Mus musculus: one gene and its partners. The protein of the gene in region 2 purifies or fractionates together with the protein of the main gene of each other region. This does not show direct contact. Links are inferred from orthologs where the notes say so. Each region holds a gene or a part of one and is shown on either strand. Other genes may lie near its edges. The genes, in order: Csnk1d, Dvl2, Peli2, Vangl2, Dact1, Vangl1 and Itch.

Region 1 (4,119 bases), about 51 Mb from region 2:
TCTCCAAACCGTCCTGCAGACCTGCTTTCCTAGCCTATCTTATTCTGAGTCACTCATTTCACATTCAGTTCCCCAAAGGGGTATCTTGAAAGGACAGTAGGGCTGAGAGCTAAGCAGAGAAAGACTGGCAGTGCTTAATCCCCTGACAAAAGGCACACTGTAGGCCTAGCATGTTGGCACTCAGAAGGCAGATCTCTGAGTTCAAGGCCAGCCAGGGCTACATAGTGAGACCATGTCTTAAACAAAACAACAACAACAAAACTCACACCATGACAGACAGATAAGCCAGTGATTCTAACCCTAGGATCCAGTGCCCATCTTGGAGCACAACAGAGGAGTCACCAAATTAAACCTTTCTGGAAAAGGTTAGTTCATGTGATCAAACGCTGTGCCCAGCCTGTGTCTAAGCCAGCCCCCAACCACCCACTTGTGGAAGACCCTGAGCAGGATATGCATCTGCGGGTTCAAAACAGTCTTTCAGCCTTTGTCTTGTCCCTCATATCCTGCCCCATGCTCTGGATGGAGGTGGGGAACCAGGTGGGGCAGTAGAGATGTGACTAAGTAAACTGCAACCCCAGACACAGCTTGCACTCTCCTGGAGAAAGGTTCCCATCTCTGAATGACACATGACTACCATAGCACAACTGGTTGTTATAATCAATCTTCAGAAAGCACAAAACCTTTTGGCAAGATCTCAGGGAACAAAAAGTTTCAAAATACCTATTTTCTGATGCCCATGAAAGGGTGGCTAATGGATTGGTTTTCAGTCTAGCTCCTATATCCTGAGGTTAAACTTCTGCCAAAATCTATTGTTCTATAAATACGCCAAACAGCTCCAATTTACCCAGCACTTTGACTCCCAAACATTGCCGAGAAGGCATCTGGCTCTCTACTTGGTTATAAATATTTAAATAAGCAAATCCTAAGTATCTCTAAAGCATATTTTACTCATCAGACCACTCTGGCAAGAAGTTCGGATTCAAAGGCACTCATGTGGCACATAGCAGGCTTACCCTGTATGCTAACCAGGCACCATAAATACTTCTGAACTACCCAAATGGGCCAGCTGTTCACCCCACACCACCAGCTATCAAGGTCCTGTGAGGAGTCAGAGTGCAAGTTCATAAGCTTGGGAAGACTAGAAGGCCGGCCCAAAGCACAGCTTCTTCCTGACTCTCCACTAGAGGTACAACAGCCAAACAAATGCAGGGATGGGCTACTGCTCAACAGAATATGGTTACCTCTAACAGGAAGTTCACCACCAGAAGGCTCCAAGTTCTCAAGGGGCTTTGGAATAACATAATTCTACTAAGAAATGCAGGGGGAAGTTTGTATTTAAAAATCCCCAACTATCAGGTTTAAGCAACCCTAAGCAACCCTCATGTCTACCTTGAGAATTCTGAGAGCCATCATGAGAACTTCCTTCCACACCACTTCTCTCCCCTCTGTTCTGCCTACATCTCGACATTGAATGCATCTGCATTCATCAAAACTTCATTCCTGTTGATTTCCGGGTGTCCAGTAGTCAACTTAGATGCTCAACATATCCTCAAGACCCCAACCAAACCAAGGCCTTTCAGGCCAGGCACAGGGAACATTTTCAGTCCTGATTTGGAGGAGAGTGGCAGCCAGGAGGCTATGGGTGATCCCTTTAGCGGGTCAGCTAAGTGGAGATGCCATTGTGGAAAAGAGCAGGCCCAGACTGCTCCAAGAACCCTCAGAAATCAGCCGGTCGTTTCCCCCATTTCTGACCGGGACACTCCCCACCTCCACACTACATCTGGCTTATTTTGACATTTCTCCCCCACACATGAAAACATCCAGGACGCCACTGCAGAGCTGAGGAACAGCACCAGACCCTTGGCGGAGCAGAGCATGGCCTTTGTTTACTGCGGTGACCTTAGGTGGGGGAGGATGCTGACGCCCGGCCCAGGCCCTGCCCCCTCCGGGCCCCACCCCCAGCCTGCTGCCCTCCCCTGCCCCGCTCTCCCCTCCCCCTCCCCGCTGTCCCCCCCCGGCCCCCGCCCCCAGTCCTTTTCCCACGCCCTCTGACACCCCACCACCGAGGCCCGCTGGCCCCCGCCTCTAGGCCTCCTTCTTCCTCTCCCGGGTCCCCGACCATCCCCAGACACGCTCCGAGCTCTGCCCCCCGGCCTGCAGTCCCCAAGACCGGCCTGTCCTTCCAGCCCTTCCCCGCACCCCACCCCGACCCGCCGCGCCGCGCCCAGCCCCCCGGCCGCGCTCGCACAGCGGCCGTTGGTGTCTGGCCGAGGCCGGTGCCCGGGCCCTCGGCTGCGGGGATGCCGAACGTCCACTCCGGCCCTCCGCAGGCCTCGGCCTGCCGGGGACCCCGCCCGCCGATCCGCAAGGCCCCCGGGCGCTCGATGGCGCCGGGCCTCACCGAGATAGATGTCTCCGAAGGAGCCGCTGCCGATCTTGCGGCCCAGTCGGTACCTGTTCCCGACCCTCAGCTCCATGGCAGCGGTGCGGCTCGCTACTGCCCGCCCGGCCGCTTCCTGGGTCTGCGCTCCGGGAGGCGGCGCCGCTGCTGCCGCTACTGCGGGTCCGGTCCGACTCCGCCCCCCTCACGGCCCCGCTTTCACCATCGCTTTCCGGTCGCCCCGTCGCTCTCAGCGCCTCAATACGGGGCGGATGGGACAGTCCGAGCGCCGCCGCCGCTGCTCCGGCCCTTGCCGGCCCCGCTCGCCCTCTCCCCGCCGCGGATGGACTCGGATCTTCCGGGCCTAAATCCCCCTTCAGCTGCCTAAAGGAGCCGCCGCCATCGCGCTGTGACGTCACTTCCCCTAGCAACCCAAGGGGGCGGGGCCACCGTGCTCGGGGGCGGGGCTTGGCTACTTGATGGATTGCGCAGTCGCAACCAGGCCTGTTTCTCTGTCCCAGTGTCCACCGTTCCCGCAGGATGACTCCAGCTGGTCTCTTTGGTCTTCCCATTTGTCTCCAATAGAAGTCCGAGGAAGCTAAGCCATGTGTGGTAAGAAATGCCTGTAGTTCCAGCCCTTGGGAGTTCGAGACCAGCCTGGGCTATAGCGACCCTGCCCCTAAACAGGCAGAGAGAAGCCGAATAGCAGTTCCTTTTGTAGACCCCGGGAAAGGCCCTTTACAGATAGGGGAAAAGGGCAGAGAGGGCGGTCCAGGCCTAGCTCTGAGATCACAGGTAGACAGTTAGCTTTTGTAGGAATCACCAGTTGTGGGCTTTGAATGGTGCAAAACGTGCCTGCTGCTGCCTGCCAGCTTCTTGCACACAAGGGTGGAAGAAAAGAGGTCTTCCTGGGACCCACTGTGGGCAGGAAGGTCAGTGTTGAGTTCACTGAGGGTGTAGAGGGTATGTCTCAGACTCTGATCGCTCTCCAGGGCTGTCTGCCTGGAGAGAGAGTCAACATTTTTATCTGGTCTGCATTGGATCTGCATGTTCCCCTGGCAAACACAAACATGAATTCTGAAGTTCAGGCTGACGGCCAGCTTCCAAGACTTGGCTGTCCATTCTGACCACTGAGGAGGGACTCTGGAGGAGCTACCACACAGGAGGTGCCCCCTAACCAGGAGGGGACAACCTTCCAAATAGATGCTTTTCTAGGCCCACTCTCACCCAGCCAGAAACACGAGAGTCACAGATGAGTGTAATGCTTCTATTTGGTCAGCTAGCACCCGTAGCATCTGCACAGGGTATCACGCTGCATGACAACTCAGCAGCCCTGCAGAAGCACGTGGAGCTGACATGTCTTCTAGTCTCCCAGCTCCACCACCCTTCCTTTTGGTGGTCCTGCAGTGCCTGCCTGCACACAGTTGGCAGTCAGGTTGGGGAGCATTACACAGCCGGAGACAGAAGACACCACAAGGCAAACTGAAACCAGTGGTCACTGAGCGGCAGGTATGGGAACTGCCTAGCTTTTTAGTCCAGGAGTCAGAGCCAGATGCGGCCAAACTAGTAAAAATAATCTTACTGACAGAATTCAAGTATAATTTTTTTTCTGTTGATGAACAATACCTAACTTCATCTGAGAAGCCCCTATATTGAACTGAAAACAGCAAACCTGGTATCTGGCCTAACCTCTCTCTTACCAACCTCGGGCCTGATCTTTGCCTAGCGGTCTTCCCTCT
Region 2 (3,500 bases):
CAGATTGCTTAGTGAGGTGAGGTGGCCCGGAATTGGGAAGCCCAGCTTCCTCGCTCCATGGGAGCGTTCCACACGTGGACTGTTATTGTTGCATGTAAGGGTGATTTTTTACCCAGAAAAGCCACACATTTGGGTGGCTCTGCTTGTGAATTAGAGAGAACTCAAAGGCAGCAGGTTCCGTGAGGACCAGAGGCTTTTATGGGACAGATGTGTAGGACAGAGATGGTTAGGCGGCCAGCCAGGCTCTTAAATTAGATATTTGGAGCAGTTGTGGGAACTGTCCCAAAGGGACTTTGGAGTGGTACTTTGAGGTTTGGATCAAATGGGAAGAAGTCTTTGGAGTGGCATTGTGCCTCTAAGGATGAGTTGGGGTAGTGGTAAATGAGAGAGTCTAGAATTTTTATTTATTTATTTGTGTATAAAAGCAAGTTACTTCACTGTGAAAGCAGAGGAGCTGGGCATGGTGATGCATGCTGGCTGAGTGGCATAGCCAAGTTTGGTGACATATGCCTTTAATACCAGGATGGAGAGGCAGAGTTAGGCAGCTCTCTGTGAGTTTGAAGCCAGCCTGGTCGTCGCTACCGCTGCTGAAAAAAAAAAGGGCAGAAGTCTATAGACAGTTGGCTTAGAGGATGCCGCTGTGTTCTGTTCTTAGCACTAGCACCCACTGGTGGCTCCTGACTCCCTGTAACTAGCTCCAGGGGAGATAATATTCTCCTGTCCTCTGCAAATACCCTCATGTGACAGCCATGCACACAGACATGTACATATACATTAGGGGAAAAGCAGACGACGTGTCAGTCAGGGCAGCAAGTCACCATGCTTGGGCAGGATGGAGATGGGGAGAGACTTGGAATGAGATTTGGAATGGGAGTGACTAGTTTAGCTTTACTAATCTCCCCCATCCCCGTGTTTGTCCCACCCCCACCCCCAGATGGGGTTTCTCTGTGGAGCCCTGGCTGTCCTGGTTCTCTCTGTAAACTAGGCTGGCCTCAAACTCAGATCACCTGCCTCTGCTTTCCAGAGTGCTGGCATTAAAGGCATGCACCACCACCGCCCATCTAGGGTGTGTGTGTGTGTGTGGTGTGTGTGTGTGTGCGCGCAAGAGAAACCCTTGCTCACTGAGTGCCTCTTGCCTCGGCCTCCCAAGTGTTAGTTGAAGGTGTACCCCATCACACCTGGCACCTTACTAATCACTCTGCTCTCTCCGCAGGGTGGTGAAGGAAGAGATCTCCGATGACAATGCCCGCCTACCTTGCTTCAATGGAAGGGTTGTCTCCTGGGTAAGGGGACTCATTACTGAGCTGCTTCCAACCTCAGTCTGTCTCTGCAGCCTCCCCCCTGCTCAGTCGCGGGTGGCCTGGCTTCCCTCTTCTCTAATGTGGATACAGTGAGCACTCCTCGGCCTCCTCTTCCTATAGCCTCCCGTACTGGATTGTTTTTTCTGGCCTCTTCACCCAGGTCTCCAGGACCCTGTGTCCTTCTTTTCTGGTCCTTTTCCTTAGTTTCTTCTCGTACACCGCTCCCCAGCAGAACCATGTTTTCTTACGTGCTCTCTTCTAGCTTGTGTCGTCAGATACCCCACAGCCTGAGGTGGCTCCCCCAGCCCATGAGTCTCGGACAGAACTGGTTCCTCCGCCTCCACCCTTACCCCCTTTGCCACCAGAAAGGACCAGTGGAATTGGGGACTCAAGGCCTCCATCCTTCCAGTGAGTCCTTTATATTCTTGAGTCCAGGGGATGGGAGCGAAGAGGGAATTCAGTCTAGACCTCTTGAGAGAGGGGGACTGAGGTTCCGGTGCTCTGTCCGACTGACTTTGGTTGGAAACTCTCTCTACCTGTGTAGCCCTAATGTATCCAGCAGCCATGAAAATCTAGAGCCTGAGACAGAGACCGAATCTGTCGTATCACTGAGGCGAGACCGACCTAGGAGGAGAGACAGCAGTGAACATGGCGGTGAGGGGATGGACCCTGGAGGCAGGGTAGACTGAGCTGGGCAGACAGGCAAGCCTTAGCATGCTGGGTATGAAGAAGGGGAGGCCTGGCTCCTGAGTCTCTTGTTTATACACAGCTGGTGGCCACAGGCCTGGTGGCCCCTCGAGGCTGGAGCGCCACCTGGCTGGCTACGAGAGCTCTTCCACCCTCATGACCAGTGAGCTGGAGAGTACCAGCCTAGGAGACTCGGATGAGGATGACACCATGAGTAGGTATGGCTGCACACTTCCCTCCCTGTTCCCTCCCTCCTCCCCCCTCCTCCCCTCCCCCTCCCCCCCAGCCAGTCTTCTTGTTTCATGTGGCTCCCTGACCACTTCCACCTCCAAATGCTATGCTTCTCAATTGCTATCAGGTTCAGCAGCTCCACTGAGCAGAGCAGTGCCTCCCGCCTCCTCAAGCGCCACCGAAGGCGAAGGAAGCAGCGGCCGCCACGCATGGAGAGGGTGAGGGTTCTTTTGGGATGAAGTGGGCTCTGGTTGAAACACAAGCTTGTGGCTTCTCTCTCTGTTGACGGGGAGCAGTTCACACCTTTCATGTCTCCCCGCTGTAGACCTCATCCTTCAGCAGTGTCACCGATTCCACAATGTCTCTCAACATCATCACGGTCACGCTCAACATGGGTATGGAGGGTCCTGACGGGGAGAAGGGAAGGAGAGAGAGGGGCTTGGGGTTTCTGGGGCTCAGTCATATGGCCCCCCTCCACAGAGAAGTACAACTTCCTGGGCATCTCCATTGTGGGCCAAAGTAACGAGCGTGGTGATGGGGGCATCTACATCGGCTCCATCATGAAAGGGGGCGCGGTGGCTGCGGACGGGCGGATCGAGCCTGGAGACATGCTTTTGCAGGTGCGCTGACGGCCTGGCTGCTGGCTGGGGCGGATGCTCTGCCCCTCCCACACTGCCCATGACCCACCACCCCTTCCCTTCAGGTAAATGATATGAACTTTGAGAACATGAGCAACGACGATGCTGTACGAGTGCTGAGAGACATCGTGCACAAGCCAGGGTGAGTGCGGCTGGCCCCAGGCCTCTTGGGCTTAAGCCTGTTTACCTTTGTTTTGCAATTTTTATAAAGACGTGAGGCCAGGCATGGTGGTGCATGCCTTTAAACATGTTATTTGAGGCACAGTTGGGCTGAGTGTGAGGCAGCCTGGTCTGCAGAGTGAGTTTCAGTCCATCCGGGTCTACATAGCGAGAAAACAAAAACCAAACAAAACAAGGGCTGTAGAGATGGCTCAGCAGTTAAGAACACTGTTTGCTCTTCCAGAGATCCTGAGTTCAATTCCCAGCAGCCACATGGTGGCTCACAACCATTTGTAATGAGATCTGATGCCCTCTTCTGGTGTGTCTGAAGAGACTGACAGTGTACTCACGTACATAAAAAAAAACAAATACGTCTTTCAAAAGAGAACAAAACCCACAAATTGCAAATCTCCCTGGCATGTCACTCCACACTAGAGCATGAAGCAGATGTGGGTGAGCACCTGAGAAGAGGCCACCCACTGTG
Region 3 (4,084 bases), on a different chromosome or scaffold from region 2:
GGGACTATGACACGGTAACTGGTTAGAATTAACAAATAATTTAAACTCCACTAACTGGACAGAAAGTGACAACCCCACTACAATCCCACATGGCATTCTCTCCTACTATGCAACCTATGACAAGAATCACCCGTACTTAGATCATCGAGGCCTGAATCAACTTTACAGTTTGCTATCCAAACTTCCTATGTGACATTTTACCATGTGATTCAGAACACAGAAGAAAGGACAATCACCCAGCAGTTAAAATAAAGTCACTGTACTTTCCAATGAAACAAAATAAATATTTTAACAATATCAGAGGCAGTGAGCAGCTTTAGCCTCAAGAATAATTTCATCAAGAAAATTTCCTAGACAGTCTATGCTCACCAATATTGATGTCCCAAAGGACCAGGCATGCACAGTAATGGCACTTTTTTTTTTTTCATTGAAATGCACTTGCTATTTTAAAGGGGACAACATGCTCTCAAGTCCAGTGGGCAGAACTGTGTAAGACTTAGTGAAAATCTAACTAGTTCACTACTTTCCAGGTACTCTTTAGTGTGCTCAATGTTGCAAGAGTCAGAAATCTGAAAGAAAGAAGGGGAGGGGGCAGCAGCCACAATTCAGGCGTACACAAAACCATCTGCTACTCCCATTTTTCTTCCTTAAAGGTCTTCCTTAAGCTGGCAAGAAGCAACATCTCCCCCCCAGCCCCCCACCACGGCAGGGCTCCACTGTTAACCAACTTCAGTTGAAGAAGTGACAACACCAAACATCATTTGCTACTTACTTACTCGGGTTTCTACTTATGTCTTGTTCTACATTAAAATGGAAGTGTTCTGTGGCTACTGGATGATACCCAATGTCCAAACAGTGTTGCCATGTGGTAGCACAGGTAACTGCCCTGCCTGCCTCCAGCTACTAGGTTAGAAACACTAAGCCATCATGGATCCAGGAAAAGCTTTAGTGAAGGATGAAGCAGGTGCTACAGGCAACGGTGTTTACAGAGACACTAAATTACAACTGTCCAGGGTGTAAATTCTTTTCCTGGCTTTGGAGTGTCCTAAACTTTTAGCTATGAACACAAACCTCTCCGGGTTTATTCCACACTGCTCCGAAACGTCTCAACAGATTGCCTCAAAAGGAAATAATGAAATGGCTCTGGCGTAAGTTAATCTTCTTTGTCAAATTCACAGTGTTAAGCATACTCTGAAGCCAGCCACATAAACAAAACCAAACTCCACAAAATTAGGCTGAGCTGAAGTTACATAAGACAGACTAAACTGTGGCTTCCCCCCACCCACCTCCCCACCCCTCCTCTTCCCAGCGAACTCTGACATCTGTCTCTTAAGTGCATGCAATTCCCATGCAGGTGCGGAAGGCGCTCATCTGCTGAGCTTCCAAATAAGCAGTGATCTTTCCAGTACTACCTTCCCCCCCCCACACACACACACAGAAAGGCTTGCAACAAACTGAAGGCTAGGAAACTTTAGATGAGTCTTTAAAAAAAAATTAAGTCGGCACTTACTTCAAGGTAGTAATCAAAACACGTTTCTCAAAGTTCCCAGAGCCTCTGCTTAGGGGTGAGGAGGGGGGCTTCCTCGCGTGCCTCTAAGCCCACCCATCAACACCCGCGTGGGTCTGAATACAGATCTTTCAACAGAGGACAAAAGCGCGGGTTCCCTGGAGCGGCACATCCAAAGGGAAACCAATCCTTTCCCTGCAGCACTACCCAAGTTGCTCCAGCTCCAAGAGTTTCCTGCACTTTCCACCTCCCCCCACCCACACCCTTTTCATTGCCCACTTTACCCTGCTTTAATCCTGCGAAGCCTCCCTCCTGGTTTATTAAGGGTAAACAATAGAAAATGTCACACGGAAACTCAGGAAGTAGATGAAGTCTCTAATTGCTGCCGTTTTAACGATTGTAGATAATTACTATCTTCAAAATGTGATTTTCACCAGCGGAGTGGGAGCCGAGGAGGGCAGGGTGGCGAGCTCCCCGCCGCTGGCAGGGCATCGGCAAGGCCGGGGCCCGAGGGGTGCAGGAGCCCGAGGGGTAAGGAGATCAAGGGGTGCGGAGACTCGAGAATGGAAACCCGGGAGATCCGGGAACCGTTGTTGAGAGGACCCGGGAAAACCAGGACCCGGTCCAGGCCCTCGGCCGAGCTCACTCCCGGCGCAAAAAGCGGAGGCCAACCAGCGGCCCGGGTCACAGACTGGAACAATGCGTAACCCCCGCGGACTGGGCTCTGGGCTCGGAGACAGGGCTCCGCGTTCGCGGTCGTCGGGAAAGAGAAGTCCCCAGTAGCCACTGGCTCCGGGCTTCACCGAGCGACCCCGCGTGGTGCAGGAGCGCCCTCCGGGCCGCGGCAACGAGCACCCCGGGGACCCGGGCCCTCAGGAGCGCATCCCTCTCCCTCCGCGACGCCCCGCCGCCCGCGTCCCCAACTCACCCCAGGACCACCAGCTCCCCGTATTTCACCGGCTCCTTGTTGGGGGCGCTGGGTTCCTCCTGGCCCGGGGAAAACATGGAGCCGCGCTCGGCCGCCGCCGCTGCCGCCTCCGCCGCGATCCCCGCCGAGTCCGCGCCGCCACTACACTCCCATCCCGAAAACGGGGTGAGCGCGCCGGGGAACGGCACGGCGGCGAACGGGGCGCTGGGCGGCCAGTCCCGCGGCTGCTCCGTCGTGGCTGTGCGCGTCGCCCGCCGGCTTCCCCGGAGCTATCCGTACGTTGGCCGCTACGAGCGGGACCCGGCACGGAAAGCGAGCGGCGACCAGAGCCCCGCGGGAGGAGGAGCGCGCGCCGCCGGGGGGCTGAGCGGGCTGGGCAGGTGGGACGGCCGCGCCGCCGCCCGCGTCTCCGCGCTCCCGCGGCCCCCGCCCGCCCGCCCGCCAGCCCCCGCGGCCCGCGAGCGCCCCGTGTTATGTAAACATAGAGTAAAGGGGAAGGCAAGCCCTTAAAGGGGCAGCTCTGTTTTTCTCCTCTCTTCCTCCGAAAAGTTGGAGCGTGGGGGTCTTCGTCCTCAGCCCGGGGATCCGGACCCCGCTTGCGTGAAAGCCAAGCATACTGCCCACCCCCCACCTCCGAGCTCACCATGCTGAGCGCACTGATCTGGGGGTGTCTGCTTTCAAAGCCAAGCCCTTGAGAGGGGGGCTTAAAAAGAGAAAGAATCTGCCCATGGGGGGGGCGCTAATTGAAGGGCTCCCCACCATTTCATGTATCAAGAGAAAGGAGAAAGAACGTGGGGGGGGGGTGAGAAAAGAGAGAGAGAGATGGAGGGAGGAGAGGGAAAGGGGAAAAAGAAAAGTTAAAAGTTACTTTTAATCCCTTATTCACATCTCTGTCCCTTCTTTCAACCCCCTGGGGAATTTAAAAGGAAATTACCTAGGTGGATTTTTTTTTTTTAAATGAAGACAAATGTTCCTTTATTTCCATGGATTAATCAAGGCACTGTTTGTATTTTATGCTTTCTTATGGTGCTGTGTCTTTAAAATATTGTAGGCTGTGATAGTTTTACTGACTGCTGTTTTTCATCATAGAGGAATTTATTATTCTAGCATTTATTAAGCCCTTGCAACATGCTAGAGACGCTACATATTATTGCCTGTCACTGCCTTTCCAGACTGTTAAATATTTAAAGAAATAAATACTGCAAAAGCTACCCAATGTATAAACATCGAGAGTGTGTGTGTGTGTGTGCCCGCGCGCGCGCGCGCGCGCACACACACACACACACACACACACACACACACACACATACACACACGTTTAGGCTATGACTCTAAGTAAGGAGTTAAAAAAGAAATAATTGCATGAGTAACCTTCCATTCTACTGCTCAGCGCCGTGCATGTATCGCTCTCTGACAGGCTATTACTGTAGTGACATGATGCTTTCTGTAATTTTACTTCAGTTAGTAACTGGCTTTTCTTCTTTTAATTGAGGCTTTGGAGATAAATTACTCCAGAATAACAAAAGCCACACTATTGATGAGCCAAAAATAAACTTTATTAGACGATTACCTTATTTCCGCTAATTACAGAAAGTCTATTCTTAGACTAAAGACAACTAGCTATCCGGCTTATTGTACAAATCCTCTGT
Region 4 (3,500 bases), on a different chromosome or scaffold from region 2:
GAGAAGGAGTTCCTGGCCCCTCCCCATAAGAGACGAGGCCACAGGTCTCGGAGCCCGAATTCAGCAGGACTGTGGTAGCTGGCGCAAAACACAAAATGTCTTCGACCCCAAGGTTGGTCAGGGTCTGCATGTCATGGAGTCCTTAAGAAGTCAACATGTATCCTTCATGGGGAAGGGTGGGGAAGAACAGGTCAGTGGGTTCAGAGGGACAAGTGAGGTCAGTGACAAGGGTCTCTCCAACCTCAGGGGTCTATCCTGCCCTTCCTCTCGGGAGTTGTCTAAGAAAGACACATTACACCTTCCCCACAGCCCTGGTAAAGTGGTCAGAGAGGTTCCACCTCTGTTTGCCTATGATCACATGACCATACAAGTCAGAAACAGCAGTAAAGACTCCTGAGTAGAAGACTGCACTTCCCCTTCTTCTATGTTTCTGTGTGTGTGTGTGTGTGTGTGTGTGTATGTGTGTGTGTGTATCTGTGAGGTGCTGTGTGTCCGTGTGTGTGTCCGTGTCCGTGTGTGTGTGTGTGTGTCCGTGTCCGTGTCCGTGTCCGTGTGTGTGTCCGTGTGTGTGTGTGTGTGTGTGTGTGTGAGTGTGTGTATCTGTGAGGTGCTGTGTGTGTGTGTCCGTGTCCGTGTGTGTCCGTGTGTGTGTGTGTGTGTGTGTGTGTGTACCAGGAAGCACAGCTGTAACACTGGCGAGCAAGACTGCAGAGAGAATCCTAATTCTGGGATTATGTCACAGGTGCATCCTTGCCCAGGGACTCAGGGCTAAGCGTAGGGACCGAGGATAGGATTAGCTGTTGTCCCACAGGAGTTTGGCACCATGGTCCTCTAGGGTCAGAGCTGTGCCCCCAAGAGAAACTCTATCAGGGGCCACTAGAGAGCGCGGCTCTAAGAATGTACATTTCTAAGTTGGAGCTCAGGAGGCAAGGGTAGAATCCGGAAGGCCCTGAATGCTTCCATCCAGGGAAGGTTTGCGGGGGAAGAATGGGGTGGGGGGATGGGAGAGTTGTGAGGCACTGTTTCCTGCAGGGCCTGGAGTGATACAAAATTGGAGGGCAGGGTGGTTCCCAGGTATTGTTAACAAGATTTATCTCCAGATTTCCAGATGGGAAAAACTGAGGAAGAGGGGAGACTGGGTACAGGATAAGTTAATTCAAGTAAAAAAAAAAACAAAAAACAAAAAACAAAAACAAACAAGAGCAAGAGGAAGTAGGACTGGCAGAAATGTGTCAGGGCCAGAGAACCAAGCCCCTCCCACTCCGCAGGAACCCCCCACATCCCTCCTCCGCGGCTGCTGCAAAAGTCACACAGAGGTCTCCGACTGCAGCCGCATGACGAACTTATGTGACTTGGGATCCACAAATTCCTCAGAGAGTTTGAAGAAGGGCACCTTCTTGGTGCTCACTACCAAGCTGAAGTCCTGGCGCTTCAAGAGGAACACGATGCCATCCTTAAGCCCATTGGTCACCGGCTCCTCGCTCACCAAGGTCCACTGTTTGGCCAGCCAACGTTCCTTGTGGTACTGGATGGTGGGTCCAGCAGCCAAATATCGCTCCAGGAAGGCCTGAGGAAGGGAGAAGATACTGTTGGGGCATCTCGTGCACCCACCCACCCTTCATCCTCTGTGACACAGCTTTCTAAGATAGCTAGGGTGTTTCTAAGCTCATTCTATACCCATGAACTGGTATCTTCAAATGTGAGTGCAGAAGACAGCCAGAGACTCCTAATATATTGATGGGGACAATGACATGCACAGAAGTGATACAGCTCCAGTCAGGACTGGAATTCACCCCTATCCTTCACCCTGTTCCTTGCACCAGGCTGTGGCTAGAGCTACTTGAACCTCATTCTTCCTTCTTCCTTCCCTTTCATACAGTTGATATGACTAGAACCATGTAGGCCTACACTAAGAGGGAAGTGGGCCAAGAAAAGCTTCAAGTGCAACACTCTGTGTGTGTGTGTGTGTGTGTGTGTGTGTGTGTGTGTGTGTGTGTACATCCATGTGCACACACACTGTTTTGCTGGTAAATGAAATCAAGAATTCAGGCCTGATCTACCACTGAGCTACATTCCCAGTCTCTTTATCACCCACTCAACAAGGAAGGCTCCGAGAGCGCCATTATAGGAAGCTGGCAACGAGGTTGAGGTAAGCCAATCGATAAAAGTCAGCAGAGGCAAAATCTTCCTTTGGGGATGAAGGGGTCAGCAAGGTAAAGGTGTAAGACTTGGAAGGTAGAAATTCTAGGGCCTTATAAAAATGAGAAAGAGGCCTCTGAAATCCCCCGAATAGTTCCAAAGTCTCCCCATGCCTCTTCCACTCTGCACAGACAAGACAGATGGAATGGGGACAGGAAAGGAAATTCTCAAGAAGAGGTAAAGATAGGGCTGGCGAGATGGCTCAGCGGTTGAGAGCACTGACTGCTCTTCCGAAGGTCCAGAGTTCAATTCCCAGCAACCACGCAGTGGCTCACAACCATCTGTAATGAGATCTGACACCCTCTTCTGGTGCGTCAGAAGACAGCTGCAGTGTACTTATTTATAATTCTTTGGGCCAGGGGGAGCAGGGACAGAGTGAGCAAGCAAGGATGGAGCAAGCAGACGTCCTACAAAATCCAATTCCCAACAACCACACGAAGGCTCACAAACACCTGAACAGCTACAGTGAACTCATATACATAAAGCAAATAAATCTTTAAAAAAAAATGAGGCAAAGAATGGGAAGGAGAAACAGCCGTGACCAACAGAGACAAGAAGCTGGACAGAGAGGAAGGGCTGGAAGCAGCAGGCCTACCTTGGGCGTCATGTCGTGGGTAATGCAGAACTCCAGGTGCTGAAGGATGCTCTCCATGGTATGGTAAGGCTGCTGTTTGGTGGTGCGAAGGTACTTCTGCATGGCACGAGCCATGGATGCAAAGATCGCTTGGGCTGCTTCCCGGGGGTCCATCACCTCCCTGGGGTTCTTCTGCTCCTCTTCCTGCAGCCGCTTAATGTGCGTGAAGGCCTCCTCCACAGCCACCACGAGCCTGGGGGACAGGTAGTCTCTGGAGCAGGTGCTCACTGCTCATCCTACCCTCTACCCACTGGCTCTGACTGCTGCAGCCAGAGTCAGGTCAGGCCTCTGTACTCTGCCCGAAGTAACGGAAGTCCGTGAGGAGCCAAGCGCTAAGAGACACAGGGGGCTCTTTCCTCATAAGCAGCAAGACACAGTCGTACTCAGCGGTACCAGACTAGGGACTTAAAGTGAACGAGCCTAGCATCAAATCCAGAATGACACTCAGGCACTGAGCTGCAGAGAAGGCCACGTATCCCAGCAGACCTAGGAAAAGACTCCGCACCACACGATGTAAAACTTTAATCCCAGCACTCGGGAGGCAGAGGCAGGAGGATTTCTGAGTTCGAGGCCAGCCTGGTCTACAAAGTGAGTTCCAGGACAGCCAGGGCTATACAGAGAAACCCTGTCTCAAAAAAACCAAAAAAAAAAAAAATTTTAATACATA
Region 5 (3,500 bases), on a different chromosome or scaffold from region 2:
CAGTATTTTAAAAACTCTATTTTACACAATACTGTTTACCAAAAGCTTTTTTAAAAAATGTAATGCCCTTCCAGATAAGTCAGCGGTCCGGTGAGGGTTGAACTGCACTACTGTTCAGGCCAGTGCTTGGTGAGAGCAATTCTGGGCTTGGAGTCAAGCCCAGTAAGGGTGAATTTCTTTGCACCAAAGGACCAACACTTTATCCCAAAGACAAGCCCTCTAAGGGACAAACAGTTGTATTGGCTACAAATTAGGAGCAGAGAGATAGAAAGGCATCAAAAACTGCTGGATATATGGCCCATGAAAGGGCTACTGTAACGAAGGCGGAGGCACTACAGGTGGCAAAGGTTTTTGTGAATCCTTTTAAGGTCCTATCAGTCTCCCTATCCAGTTTACCACCTCCAGATTAAAAGTCTGGTCTACTAAGTTCTAAATCCAGTAAAAAGTGTACTTCTAAGAAGAAAATAGGATGGAGAGACATCTGAGAGTGTTGTCTATAGTAAAAAATTTACAGAAAGCAATGACTGTTTTGTTTGTTTGTTTGTTTTTTCTACCTACTCTACACAATTGTATGCAATGCCCCTCAACCGGAAAGCCCTTTCAGGGACAAAGCCCTAAAGGATCAAGGAGCGAGTTCACGGCTTAAAAATTTTATCCACGAACCTTGGAAACAAAAGGTCTCATCCAAATAAAACTTGAACATCACACACCTGTACTTGGCCAGACACTCGGACGAAACATCTGATAATCAAAATGCATTCACTATCACCACCACTAAGACCTCAATATTCACTTCTAACTAGAGATACATCCTTCACCTTCCATTAAAGGCACTAGCGTCCATACATGACCGCGAGACATAATTTATCTTGGGTTTATCCTAGTGAAAGGAAAGTATTCCATTTAAGTATGACACAAATATTAAGACAACACCTTTTTCTTTTTCTCAGAGACTAGGGGGAGGAGAAGACACTCGCTACATCAGCTACTCAAACGGTAGTCATCAGTTTCAAAGAGCCAGAGCGGAAACGGAGGATCTTCTTCTTGAGGTTGTGCGAAGCCTTGATTTTGACAAAGGTTTTTGTGGGACGGGTGTGGAGGTCTGGGGCCGTGACCGTTTGAATCGGGAGAGTCTGGACAAACTGGGACCAGATTAAACCCCCGCTCTCCTCTGAGTCGCTGGTGGTGGTGCTCTCGCCCACGAAGTCGCCTTCGCTCACGCTGGACTCGCTGTCGCCGAAGCAGTTGGTGGTGTAGTTGCTCTGCTCGTCCTCGCTGGTGTCCACCACCGTGGAGTGGAAGAGCGACTCGCACTCCGCCGAGTACTCGGAGTCGCTGGGCACGTAGGCATAGGGGCTGGCGTAAGGCAGGGCGACAGCCACCCGGTAGGCAGCCCCGTGCTCCCTGCGAGCCCTCCGGGCCCTCCGCAGGGCTTCTTCGTAGGAGACCTCGGCTGACGATTTCCACCGCCGGTAGTCGGTTCGCTTGTGCTTCGGTTTGGCCACCACGGGCTCCCGGCCATGCGCGTGCGCCCTGCTACCCGCCCGATGGCCGCCGGTGCCCAGGGCCCTACCGGGAAGGCCAGCGTCCTGCAGCCCGCCACTGCGCCGGCCCTTGGCGGAGGTCTTCCTGAATTTCTTATTTGTATCCGAGTCGTCTGGGAAACGGCACTTCTTGCCTGCTGCCCGCGGTTTCTCCCTGACGGTGGGCAGGCCGTGTTCCATGGCTGCCTGGCCGCGGGCCTTCAAGGTGGCGCTCCTTGCGACACCCGGGTTCCTGTGTGCACGGTGAGGCCTGGCGGCCGCCTGCTGCCCCGGAATGAACTGAGCTTTCACCAGATGCCCTTCCTCGAGGCTTTGAGATGAGCCCTCGCTTTTGAAGTCCAAGGCCGGCCTGTCCAGCGCGGGCACAGCCTGGAGGCTGTTCTTCTGCGACATCTTTTTCGGGAGCTGCAGGGCTTTGCTCTCTGCGGGGGCGACAGGGCCTCTGCCAGGACTTGTTTTAGGAGAAACAGCGGAGGCCTGATTGCTTTCCTTCATGGATTCCCCCAGCCCGGCTTGACACCTTGTGAGCTCTTGAGAGGCTGCCTTGGCGGCTTTGGGCACATGCTTGCTTTGGGGTTCCATGGCGGCGCCTGCCGAGCAGCTCTCCGGCAGAGCCAACCTCTTGCTTTCTAACTGGTCTGTCTTTGAGTCTTTGGACCTCTGCTTAGGAGGGGAGAATGGCCCGTTTTCCAAAGAGGTTATTCCCCCAGCGGGCAAACACATCTGTTTTGTATTCTTAAAGTTCACACTACTGCCCGGTGGGACGCCACTAGGGGCCCTGACACACACACTTCCATTCCTCAGAAGGCCCTTGGTAGGGTCAGCGTTCACACTGGTTCTAGGTTTATTGGTCCTTACAGGGTGTGTTTTCTTCTGCACGAGGCTCAAAATATACCCATCCATTTTCTTACTGGATGCAGGATGGGAAGCGGACCACAAACTGCTTGGAGATGGCAGGGAATTGTCTGTTTTGGTGGCGTTCAGTTCAGATCCAATGCAGATGTCGCTGGCATGGCTCCCAAGCCCCTCCTCTTCCCTCAGAGTGTTGCCCGTCAGACAAAGGAGAAACATTGGGCTCTGCACAGCCACAGCATGAAGTGGACTGGGGTAGCGATATACGTCATTCCCGTTTTTAGACACAAGATCACACTGGTATTTAGGATTCACATCTGCAATGACATCAAGGGAATTAAATTGTGGTGTGGAGGGGGAACTGCACACTGTCCCTGAGGCCTGGTCTTCACAGGGGCCGCCTTTACATTCCAACCATCCTATGAGATCTGAAAAACATGTAAAGATACACTGAAGAAATGAATCGGTAGAGCCACTTCGACTCTGGCCAGAGTTTACTAAGGTGAACTGGATGGAGACAGAATAGCAAAGGATCGAGAACTAGTCCACACTGGTTCCTCTGCAAGCTTACATGAAGCACATGGATGACTGAATGACAGCAAGCACTATTCAAGAATTTTGACCAAAAAAAAAAAAAAAATAGCCATTCATAATGCTCTGAAACTACTGAATAATGTAAGGGAACACTTCATGAAGCTTAGTGAAAATCATGATATCAATCAGGATAAAATTTTATGCAAACAAACTCTTGACATTAAGCACATCAAAATCCTAACGGTACCCTTCCAGTGTGATAAGTGATCTGTTTCCAATAACTGCACCTTAGAACTTTTTGTTTTCTTTTTCTGGTCTACTCTCCTTCCTCTGGTTTCTCTTTAAAATATTTAAGACACTTGCTGTGGCCATTTTTGTATTTTTTTAAAAACAAACAAAAAAAAATACAAAATGTAATCTATTTAAACATAACTATCCTTTGTGGGAAAAAAATCAACAAAACATATCAAGGCTTTTTTAAAGGAGTGCTCTTATTTTTAACTTTGCTTATGTGTTAGTGCACCTGAGTGCCGTGCCCACAGAGGTGAGAAGAGGACTAGATTCTCTGGA
Region 6 (3,500 bases), on a different chromosome or scaffold from region 2:
AAGTAAGTCTTAAATAACGTGGTGAGCAACAGTGGAGACATGGGATGTCATGTGACCGGCCAAACCCAGGGACATTTCTGCCCCAGCCCCGACCTAGCAGCGCACCTTGGGGGTCATGCTGTTGGTGATGCAGAAGGCCAGGTGCTGCAGGATACTCTCCATGCTGTGGTAGTGCTGCTGCCGTGTGGTGCGCAGGTACTTCTGCAGTGCCCTGGCCATGGAGGGGAAGATGGCCTGGGCTGCCTCTCTGGGGTCCATCACCTCTCCGGGAGACTTCTGCTGCTCCTCAGCCTGGAGACGCTGGATATGGATGAAGGCTTCCTCCACAGCCACTACCAGTCTGGAAGGAGATTCGGGACAGTCAGCAAGGCAGCGCCCACTGCAGGGTCTGGGGACAGTCCCATAAGATGCAGAGGGCCTTTATTGACTGAAGCACCCTGGCCTACCACCAACTTCCCCAAGGCTCTGTCATACTGTATCCCTCTAGGAGATGGAAAGAGCCTGGGAGAAGAGAAGCAACAGCAGAAATGAGATGGGAGTGGGTGGGTGGTATCGCTGGGCCTCCCAGTTCTGCCAATAATGAGCTCAGAAAGCTCACTTTAACCTGTGCTTTGATTTCTTCAATAAAAGGTGTCTCCTGAGAAGCTCTGCCCGAGCCTGACATATACAGAAGCAGATGCTTGCAGCCAAGCATTGAACTGATGATCACAGGGTCCCCAATGGAGGAGTTAGAGAAAGGACTGAAGGAACTGAAGAGGTTTGCAACCACATAGCAAGAACAATAATATCAACCAGCCAGATCCCCCTCCCCCTCCAGAGCTCCCAGGGACTAAACCACCAACCAAGGAGTACACATGGAGGGACCCGTGGCTTCAGCTGTGTATGTAGCAGAGGATGGCCTTGTTATGCATCAATGGGAGGAGAGGCCCTTGGTCCTATGAAAGCTCAATGCCCCAGTGTAAAGGAATGCAAGGGCAGGGAGGTGGGAGTGGGTGGGTGGGTGGGGGCACACCCTCATAGAAGTAGGAGGAGGGGGAAGGGATAGGGGGCTTCTGAGTTGGGGGAATCAGGAAAGGGGATAGCATTTGAAATGTAAATAAATAAAATATCCAATTTTTTAAAAAGCGAAATAAAGACTTCTGTTCACACTCCATCGGGAAAGCGAAAGCGAGCGTGCAGACACAGCTGCTAAAGAGCCAGAGCTTGGGTAGCTTTAGTTGGCAGAGGGCTTGCCCAGTACCACAGAGACCTGGGACAAATCCCCAGCACCTCATGTGGTGGCACACGCTCCTGATCCAGCACTCAGCAGGTGGAGGCCACACGAGAAGCCAAGCTGACAAGATGGCTCAGGGCAAAGGTGCTTGCAGCCAAGCCTCACAACCCGAATTTGACCCCCCAGAACTCGTGTGAGAGAAGACAAAGAACCAATCCCCAAAAGCCATGCTCTCCATATATTCACTGTGGCATATGTACAGGCACACATACATGTACATGCACACATACATGTACACACATGTACACATGTACATACACACACACACACACACATAGATGTTTAAAAAGGTTTTAAAAAAGAAGTTCAATATCATCCTCAGCTATACAGAGAGTTTAAGGCCTGGTTAGGCTACAAAAAAAGAAAGAAAGAAGAGAAAAGACAAGAAAAGAGAAGAAAAGGAAAGAAAAAGAAAAGAAAAGCAAGCAAGCAGAGCTTTAGTCCCCTTGTTCCACTTACCCCTCCCCCCAGCCCCCCAGCAACTCAGGAAGGGGAAGAATGAGGTGACAGGCTTAAGGGAAGCCACCTTTGTCACCTTCCATTCACATGGGAAATGGTGTGGGTGGGTCTTGCCCCCTCCAAGGGCAGCCACAGATGCCCCCTGGAAATCTGCTCTGAATGCAGATTCCCAGGCCCAGGCTTAGGCCCACAGACCACGTGGTAAGCCTTGTAAGTGGGCCCAGGACCTGTGATGGGTGTTTAGAGGTATGTCTGGTGGTGATTACACACAAAGTCTGAGAAACGTGAGAGTAACGTGGTCTGAAAACAGTCATCCAGGGCATGCGTACAAACAGAAAATTAATTCTGGAAGTTAAAAAAAATTTTTTTTTTTAAGTAAGAATAAAATGTTCAGCGGGAGGAGGGCCCAGGCGTGCAAGGGTCACAGACCTTGCTCTCCGCTTCTTCACCCTGCGTTCGTGTTCGGCCTCTTCATAATACAACTCGTTGTGGCTGGAGTCTCTGCGCCGAGCTGCTGCAGCAATCATGGCTCGGGACTGACCAGTGGCGTTATTACTAGGCCCTTTGATGAAAGGAGAAAGGTAGATAGCTTTAACGGTAAACGCCAGGAAATGGGACCGAGAAGCAGCACCAGGGTCTGTGGTCTGCTAGTTAGCGCCCACCCACGCCCCTACGGAGCACCCCTGGCTGGGCCTGCGCAGTACTCCACGCTCATGGCAGCCAGGAGATCTAACCCCAGTGTGATGGGGAAATGGAAAAAGAACTCTGAAGGGGCTGCCAACTGCTCACCCCTGAAAACGCCGGCCAAGAACAACACCCGCCGGAGCGTGCCGAAGAGGTCACTTACCATCTGCTACACAAAGTTTCAGTTTGGCCATAAGGGCAGCTGGGACATCGCATACAGCGGACAATGAGAGAGAGTGGGCAGGATGGGAGAACAAGGACAGACAGAGAAAAGAGAAGTCAAGGGACACTGACAGTGACCACACACAGGAACACAAGCTAAGCCGAGTGCTATCTCCCCCAACACCAAAGCCCAGCAACCGCAATACGCCCCGCCCCATCTGTGAATCGACCTACAAGTCCCGTATCACCCTGAGCATGACCCAACTTAGCTTATCACAAAGACACAGCCAGGACCTAATGCTTTCTTCTGGGTGCCTTAGAGAACTAAGTTTCCCAATCAAGGGTGAGGCTTACCAGTCATACCCCTCACATAGCCAAATTTAAAAAAAAAAAAAATATTTGAACACTAATACCAAAAACTGATACCTATGTAAACCAGATGTCTTACTGACAACATGAATCTCTCTGGGAGTCTGCAAAGCTCTTGTCTTAGCCCAGGTGCCCAGCAAGACGTAAGAGGGAGTCCTGTTTCTCACACTTAAGCATCTGACACCCTGAATGAAACTGGCCTCTGACTTGGTGAGTCTGCCTCCAGCTTCTGGTTGCCATTCCTGGCCAGGACTGAGAGACTAGAGAGGAGCTCCCAGATAGCTGACTCTCTAGGCTGAATACGTTTCTAGGCCAGGGTGGAGTATTCTAGGCCGAAAGCCCTGAGAGCATCGCAGTCTTTTGGTAAACAGCTCAGACTTTGAAAAACATTCCTTTCCGAGGACTTTCAATCTAAAGTGTTCCCAGCAGGAGGCAGGAAACACAGCTACAGTTTCCAATACCAAAATCTCCAAGTGGATGAACTTGATATATATATACACATATATAGACTGTAACTGACATTCCCCCGGAAAAAAATGTTTGTCTACATTTA
Region 7 (3,438 bases), on a different chromosome or scaffold from region 2:
CAGTACTGCAAAGAATTAGTGAATCTTAAAGAAATTTAGATCCCAAACAGGCAAAAATATTACCCTGATAACATGTCAAGTAATTTAACCAGATAAGTAAAACGTGGCAGAGAGGGCTGGGTGAGAGCTCTGTGGGCAGATAAGCCAACCCCTGGGTGAGGAGTCAGCACCCCAATTTTTTCCTCCCAAGACAAGGGTTTCTCTGTATAGTCCTGGCTGTCCTGGAACTCACTTTGTAGACCAGGCTGGCCTCGAACTCAGAAATCCACCTGCCTCTGCCTCCCGAGTGCTGGGATTAAAGGCGTGCGCCACCACGCCTGGCTGCACCCCAATTTTAACAGTTACTCTAAGTCTTAGGAAACTGAATTCTGCACATGAAGATGGTAGAAGGCGAAGGAGTTCACAACTGTCAGCTCTATCACTCCATTGGACGAGAGCCCCGAGCTCTTCCATCTGGACCCTTGTGGAACCCACCAAAAGAGCAGACGAAAAGGCAAATGCTCATTTTACTCTGTTTTTATTTCAATGTAACATGCAGTAAGAAAAAAAAAAACTTAACAGGTTGATTAGCATTTACGATGCTTACAGAGAAAAAGGTCTTAAAAGCAACTTAGTCCATCCAGATTTAAGGAAAATCGCTAATTAAACATTCACAATAAATCTATTCCCAAATACTCATTTTGGACCAAAATTTGAGAGCATCTGGTCAATGTGCCTGCTGTTTAGGTGCATTGTCTTATATACGCTCTGACTCCTGGGATATCCAGCCCCCGTTTTTCTAACACAGCAGGGAAGACATATACATGTGATCAATTAAATTAAAGGAAGAAATGGAGTTGGGAGACTCCAGGGCTGCAAAAATATATACAAGCATTTACCTTTTCCAGAACTAAACGTTTCTTCCATAAAAATATTAAATAGCCAAGCCCTATAGAACTAGGGCCAGGACTACTTCAAATATAACTTCTGTATTTTAAAAATATAGGGCAGAAAGCCTTTTGGATGATATTTATACATTTTCACATAATATTTCTAGGTCCCTAAATGAATCATGAAGCATTATGCAGAATCAACAAAGTCTATTTTCTTACATTATCTCTTAATTTAATCTCATAAATCTCTAGTGAATATGGTAGATAACTATGTTTTAGTACAAGAATTGGATTCAATAGGAAGTCTTTGTAGAAGGCTTAATATTTATAGCCATTTATTACCAAAGTTCAGGCCTATGTAGTGAATGGATAGTTGGCAGACATTCGCTCTGTAAGACAAAGCAATTAGCATATACATTTTTTTTTAACCCTACCAACAAAAAGGCAGAGATTTCCTACTTTGGAAAGAACTAGGGCTTCTAGAGATGACATGTATTTCTTGTGGTATAAGGGTAAAAAGAGGGCTGGGGAGGAGCCGAGCTCTCCCTTCACTGATCACTTCTTCATGAGGCAACCCGTCTGTCACGTCTCTGCTGAGGATGGCAGTGTTAAGGAGCACAGCTGCACGAGTTCAAACTGTCCCAGGATGAGAACAGGATGAGCAGCTAGGGACACAGAAACACTTTCTTTCCTATGGGACAGGGGTTTGTCACACTTGGTGTTCTTGGCTTTATGCTATGCCACCAACACATTTCAAGGTCCCCATTAGAGAAATAAGGCTAATTTTGGGATTTGGCTACAATAGGGACTCACCTGGCTGAGGTTTCATCTTGCTGCCCATAAAGTCTGGGCAGCAACCATCCTCACAGTCTAATGCTAAGCCAAGGTAAATGACCTACAGAGAAGGTCAAAGTGCATTCATCAGTTACTAAAGGAGCAGCCTAAGATAAAGGAGTCATGGAAAGAAAAGGGAAATCTACAATTTTTAGGGGAGAGAAAAATATTGTAGATCAGGACCATGTAAGAGGGTAGACACGGCTGCTCCTGTGTCAGGAGTGGAGTGTGAAGACAGCGCAGCTGTGTGGCTGCTGGACGCTGTTGTGACTGCAGAGTCTGCACCACTGACCTCCATTTGTGTTAGGAAATGGTTGCAACTTGAATAGTTTAGCAAAAATGAAATGTAACTAAGGTGTTGGATTACTTCAACACCATAAAGCTTCAATTTATGTGTAGGATTTAAAAAAATCAAGAATGATCTTAGATGAATTCATCTGAACTTATTTTAATTCTAGGTTAATTTCTAAAAACGTGAAGGAACCACAGTGCTGATACTGTTTGTAAAGTTTAGTATTTGCAAGGCAATAGAACAATTACAAACTGAATGAAGAGAGGTATGGTCATATGTTGGCGGGGACCAAGTTTTCCCTGAATTCAAATAGACAAAACTACTTTGTAGAAAAATGCAAGTCCTGCATCACTTCCAGGAATAGCATCAGAATGGTGCACTGATTCATGCTCCAGGAATGAAAAACAACAGTCAGGCCAGGCTGGGACGAGCGGAGAGCACAAGCAGCAGCTGCTCATGTGCCCAGACACTGAGTTAAGCTTGCACCTCTGAGCGAGGCTTTACAGGAAGACCTTGTGTATTGCGTTTCCGAGATGTCCCTGCAGAATCCTTTACAATACCCACTAAGAGACCTATGCCCAAGTGAGACTTCGGACATACAGCAAACTGTTGTTAAGGGAACAATCTAGTGGAATAAGACGAGGGAAATTTCCTCGCTGTGTTAAATCTCATGTTAAGTTTCTGACTACAGTTTGTAGATCTGCTTTCTGGAAACGTTGAGTAGAAATCCAGAATGACTGGAAGATCTCAACGATAACATTAATTTACTTACTCTCAGGTAACTCTCTAGTCACAGTCCAAGTTTACAATAAGATGTGCAACAGGCAGAGAAGGAAGGGGACAGACACTGCAGACAAGTCCCTGGCCTCTGGTGGCTTAAGGTCTAAACAATTACTCTTGTCCAAATCCTTCAGTTTCTTCAATGGCAAATAACAGCTTTTCCTTCAGTTGCTCATAGCTCTTGTAAGGTGGGAGGTCCAGGCGGTTAAAACTGAAAGAAAGAATTGTTGGCTTGAGAAAAGGAAAGATACAAAGATGCACACAGGCAGTGCCCCACAGCTGCACCTCAGAGGTCTGATGATGTGCCCTTGAATCACGCAGCCTTCAAGCAACTGCCTTTTACCTTTCCAAGATTCATGCCAGTGTCTTCTCTGGTCAACTGGGAGAGCAATACCCACCCCTGTAGTAGACTTAGAAACAAGCACACAGCACCATGCAGGTGCTTAGCAGACCCTCAGGAAATGCCAGTCTTCTCATGATGTCCCAACTACCCACTGTAGACCAGTGGTCAGCAATCTTACTGTAAATGGCCATACATGAAACACTTCAGATTTTGAAGGCGGTTTTAGGTATATCATGTTAGAATAAGAAATGATAGTCCAGCTGTGGTGATGCAAGCCTTTAATCCCAGCACTCAAGAGACAGAGGCAGATGGACAAC

The links.
Region 1: the proteins of Dvl2 (region 2) and Csnk1d purify together in Homo sapiens (affinity purification with mass spectrometry; 3 studies listed by BioGRID and IntAct, with this or other methods). This does not show direct contact. The link is inferred for Mus musculus from reciprocal best matches to the Homo sapiens genes DVL2 and CSNK1D.
Region 3: the proteins of Dvl2 (region 2) and Peli2 purify together in Homo sapiens (affinity purification with western blotting; 3 studies listed by BioGRID, with this or other methods). This does not show direct contact. The link is inferred for Mus musculus from reciprocal best matches to the Homo sapiens genes DVL2 and PELI2.
Region 4: the proteins of Dvl2 (region 2) and Vangl2 purify together in Homo sapiens (affinity purification with mass spectrometry; 4 studies listed by BioGRID and IntAct, with this or other methods). This does not show direct contact. The link is inferred for Mus musculus from reciprocal best matches to the Homo sapiens genes DVL2 and VANGL2.
Region 5: the proteins of Dvl2 (region 2) and Dact1 purify together in Homo sapiens (affinity purification with western blotting; 3 studies listed by BioGRID and IntAct, with this or other methods). This does not show direct contact. The link is inferred for Mus musculus from reciprocal best matches to the Homo sapiens genes DVL2 and DACT1.
Region 6: the proteins of Dvl2 (region 2) and Vangl1 purify together in Homo sapiens (affinity purification with mass spectrometry; 4 studies listed by BioGRID and IntAct, with this or other methods). This does not show direct contact. The link is inferred for Mus musculus from reciprocal best matches to the Homo sapiens genes DVL2 and VANGL1.
Region 7: the proteins of Dvl2 (region 2) and Itch purify together in Homo sapiens (affinity purification with western blotting; 4 studies listed by BioGRID and IntAct, with this or other methods). This does not show direct contact. The link is inferred for Mus musculus from reciprocal best matches to the Homo sapiens genes DVL2 and ITCH.

The regions. Positions count from the first base shown.
Region 1 is NC_000077.6:120,988,534-120,992,652, forward strand, and holds the start of Csnk1d (casein kinase I isoform delta), read right to left. Parts: upstream 2,801-4,119; 5' UTR 2,478-2,800; coding exon 2,402-2,477; intron 1-2,401. UniProt on the Homo sapiens protein: Essential serine/threonine-protein kinase that regulates diverse cellular growth and survival processes including Wnt signaling, DNA repair and circadian rhythms. It can phosphorylate a large number of proteins.
Region 2 is NC_000077.6:70,003,592-70,007,091, forward strand, and holds part of Dvl2 (segment polarity protein dishevelled homolog DVL-2), read left to right. Parts: intron 1-1,213; coding exon 1,214-1,283; intron 1,284-1,563; coding exon 1,564-1,709; intron 1,710-1,845; coding exon 1,846-1,955; intron 1,956-2,070; coding exon 2,071-2,206; intron 2,207-2,346; coding exon 2,347-2,437; intron 2,438-2,544; coding exon 2,545-2,614; intron 2,615-2,699; coding exon 2,700-2,839; intron 2,840-2,922; coding exon 2,923-2,999; intron 3,000-3,500.
Region 3 is NC_000080.6:48,119,585-48,123,668, reverse strand, and holds the start of Peli2 (E3 ubiquitin-protein ligase pellino homolog 2), read right to left. Parts: upstream 2,801-4,084; 5' UTR 2,513-2,800; coding exon 2,436-2,512; intron 2,268-2,435; exon of another isoform or gene 1,792-2,267; intron 1,763-1,791; exon of another isoform or gene 1,511-1,762; intron 1-1,510. UniProt on the Homo sapiens protein: E3 ubiquitin ligase catalyzing the covalent attachment of ubiquitin moieties onto substrate proteins. Involved in the TLR and IL-1 signaling pathways via interaction with the complex containing IRAK kinases and TRAF6.
Region 4 is NC_000067.6:172,003,296-172,006,795, forward strand, and holds part of Vangl2 (vang-like protein 2), read right to left. Parts: intron 3,027-3,500; coding exon 2,795-3,026; intron 1,568-2,794; coding exon 1,307-1,567; 3' UTR 1-1,306. UniProt on the Homo sapiens protein: Involved in the control of early morphogenesis and patterning of both axial midline structures and the development of neural plate. Plays a role in the regulation of planar cell polarity, particularly in the orientation of stereociliary bundles in the cochlea.
Region 5 is NC_000078.6:71,316,384-71,319,883, reverse strand, and holds part of Dact1 (dapper homolog 1), read right to left. Parts: intron 2,825-3,500; coding exon of another isoform or gene 2,714-2,824; coding exon 990-2,713; 3' UTR 1-989.
Region 6 is NC_000069.6:102,163,194-102,166,693, forward strand, and holds part of Vangl1 (vang-like protein 1), read right to left. Parts: intron 2,619-3,500; coding exon of another isoform or gene 2,580-2,618; intron 2,295-2,579; coding exon 2,162-2,294; intron 341-2,161; coding exon 106-340; intron 1-105.
Region 7 is NC_000068.7:155,223,918-155,227,355, reverse strand, and holds the end of Itch (E3 ubiquitin-protein ligase Itchy), read right to left. Parts: intron 2,990-3,438; coding exon 2,890-2,989; 3' UTR 501-2,889; downstream 1-500. UniProt on the Homo sapiens protein: Acts as an Acts as an E3 ubiquitin-protein ligase which accepts ubiquitin from an E2 ubiquitin-conjugating enzyme in the form of a thioester and then directly transfers the ubiquitin to targeted substrates.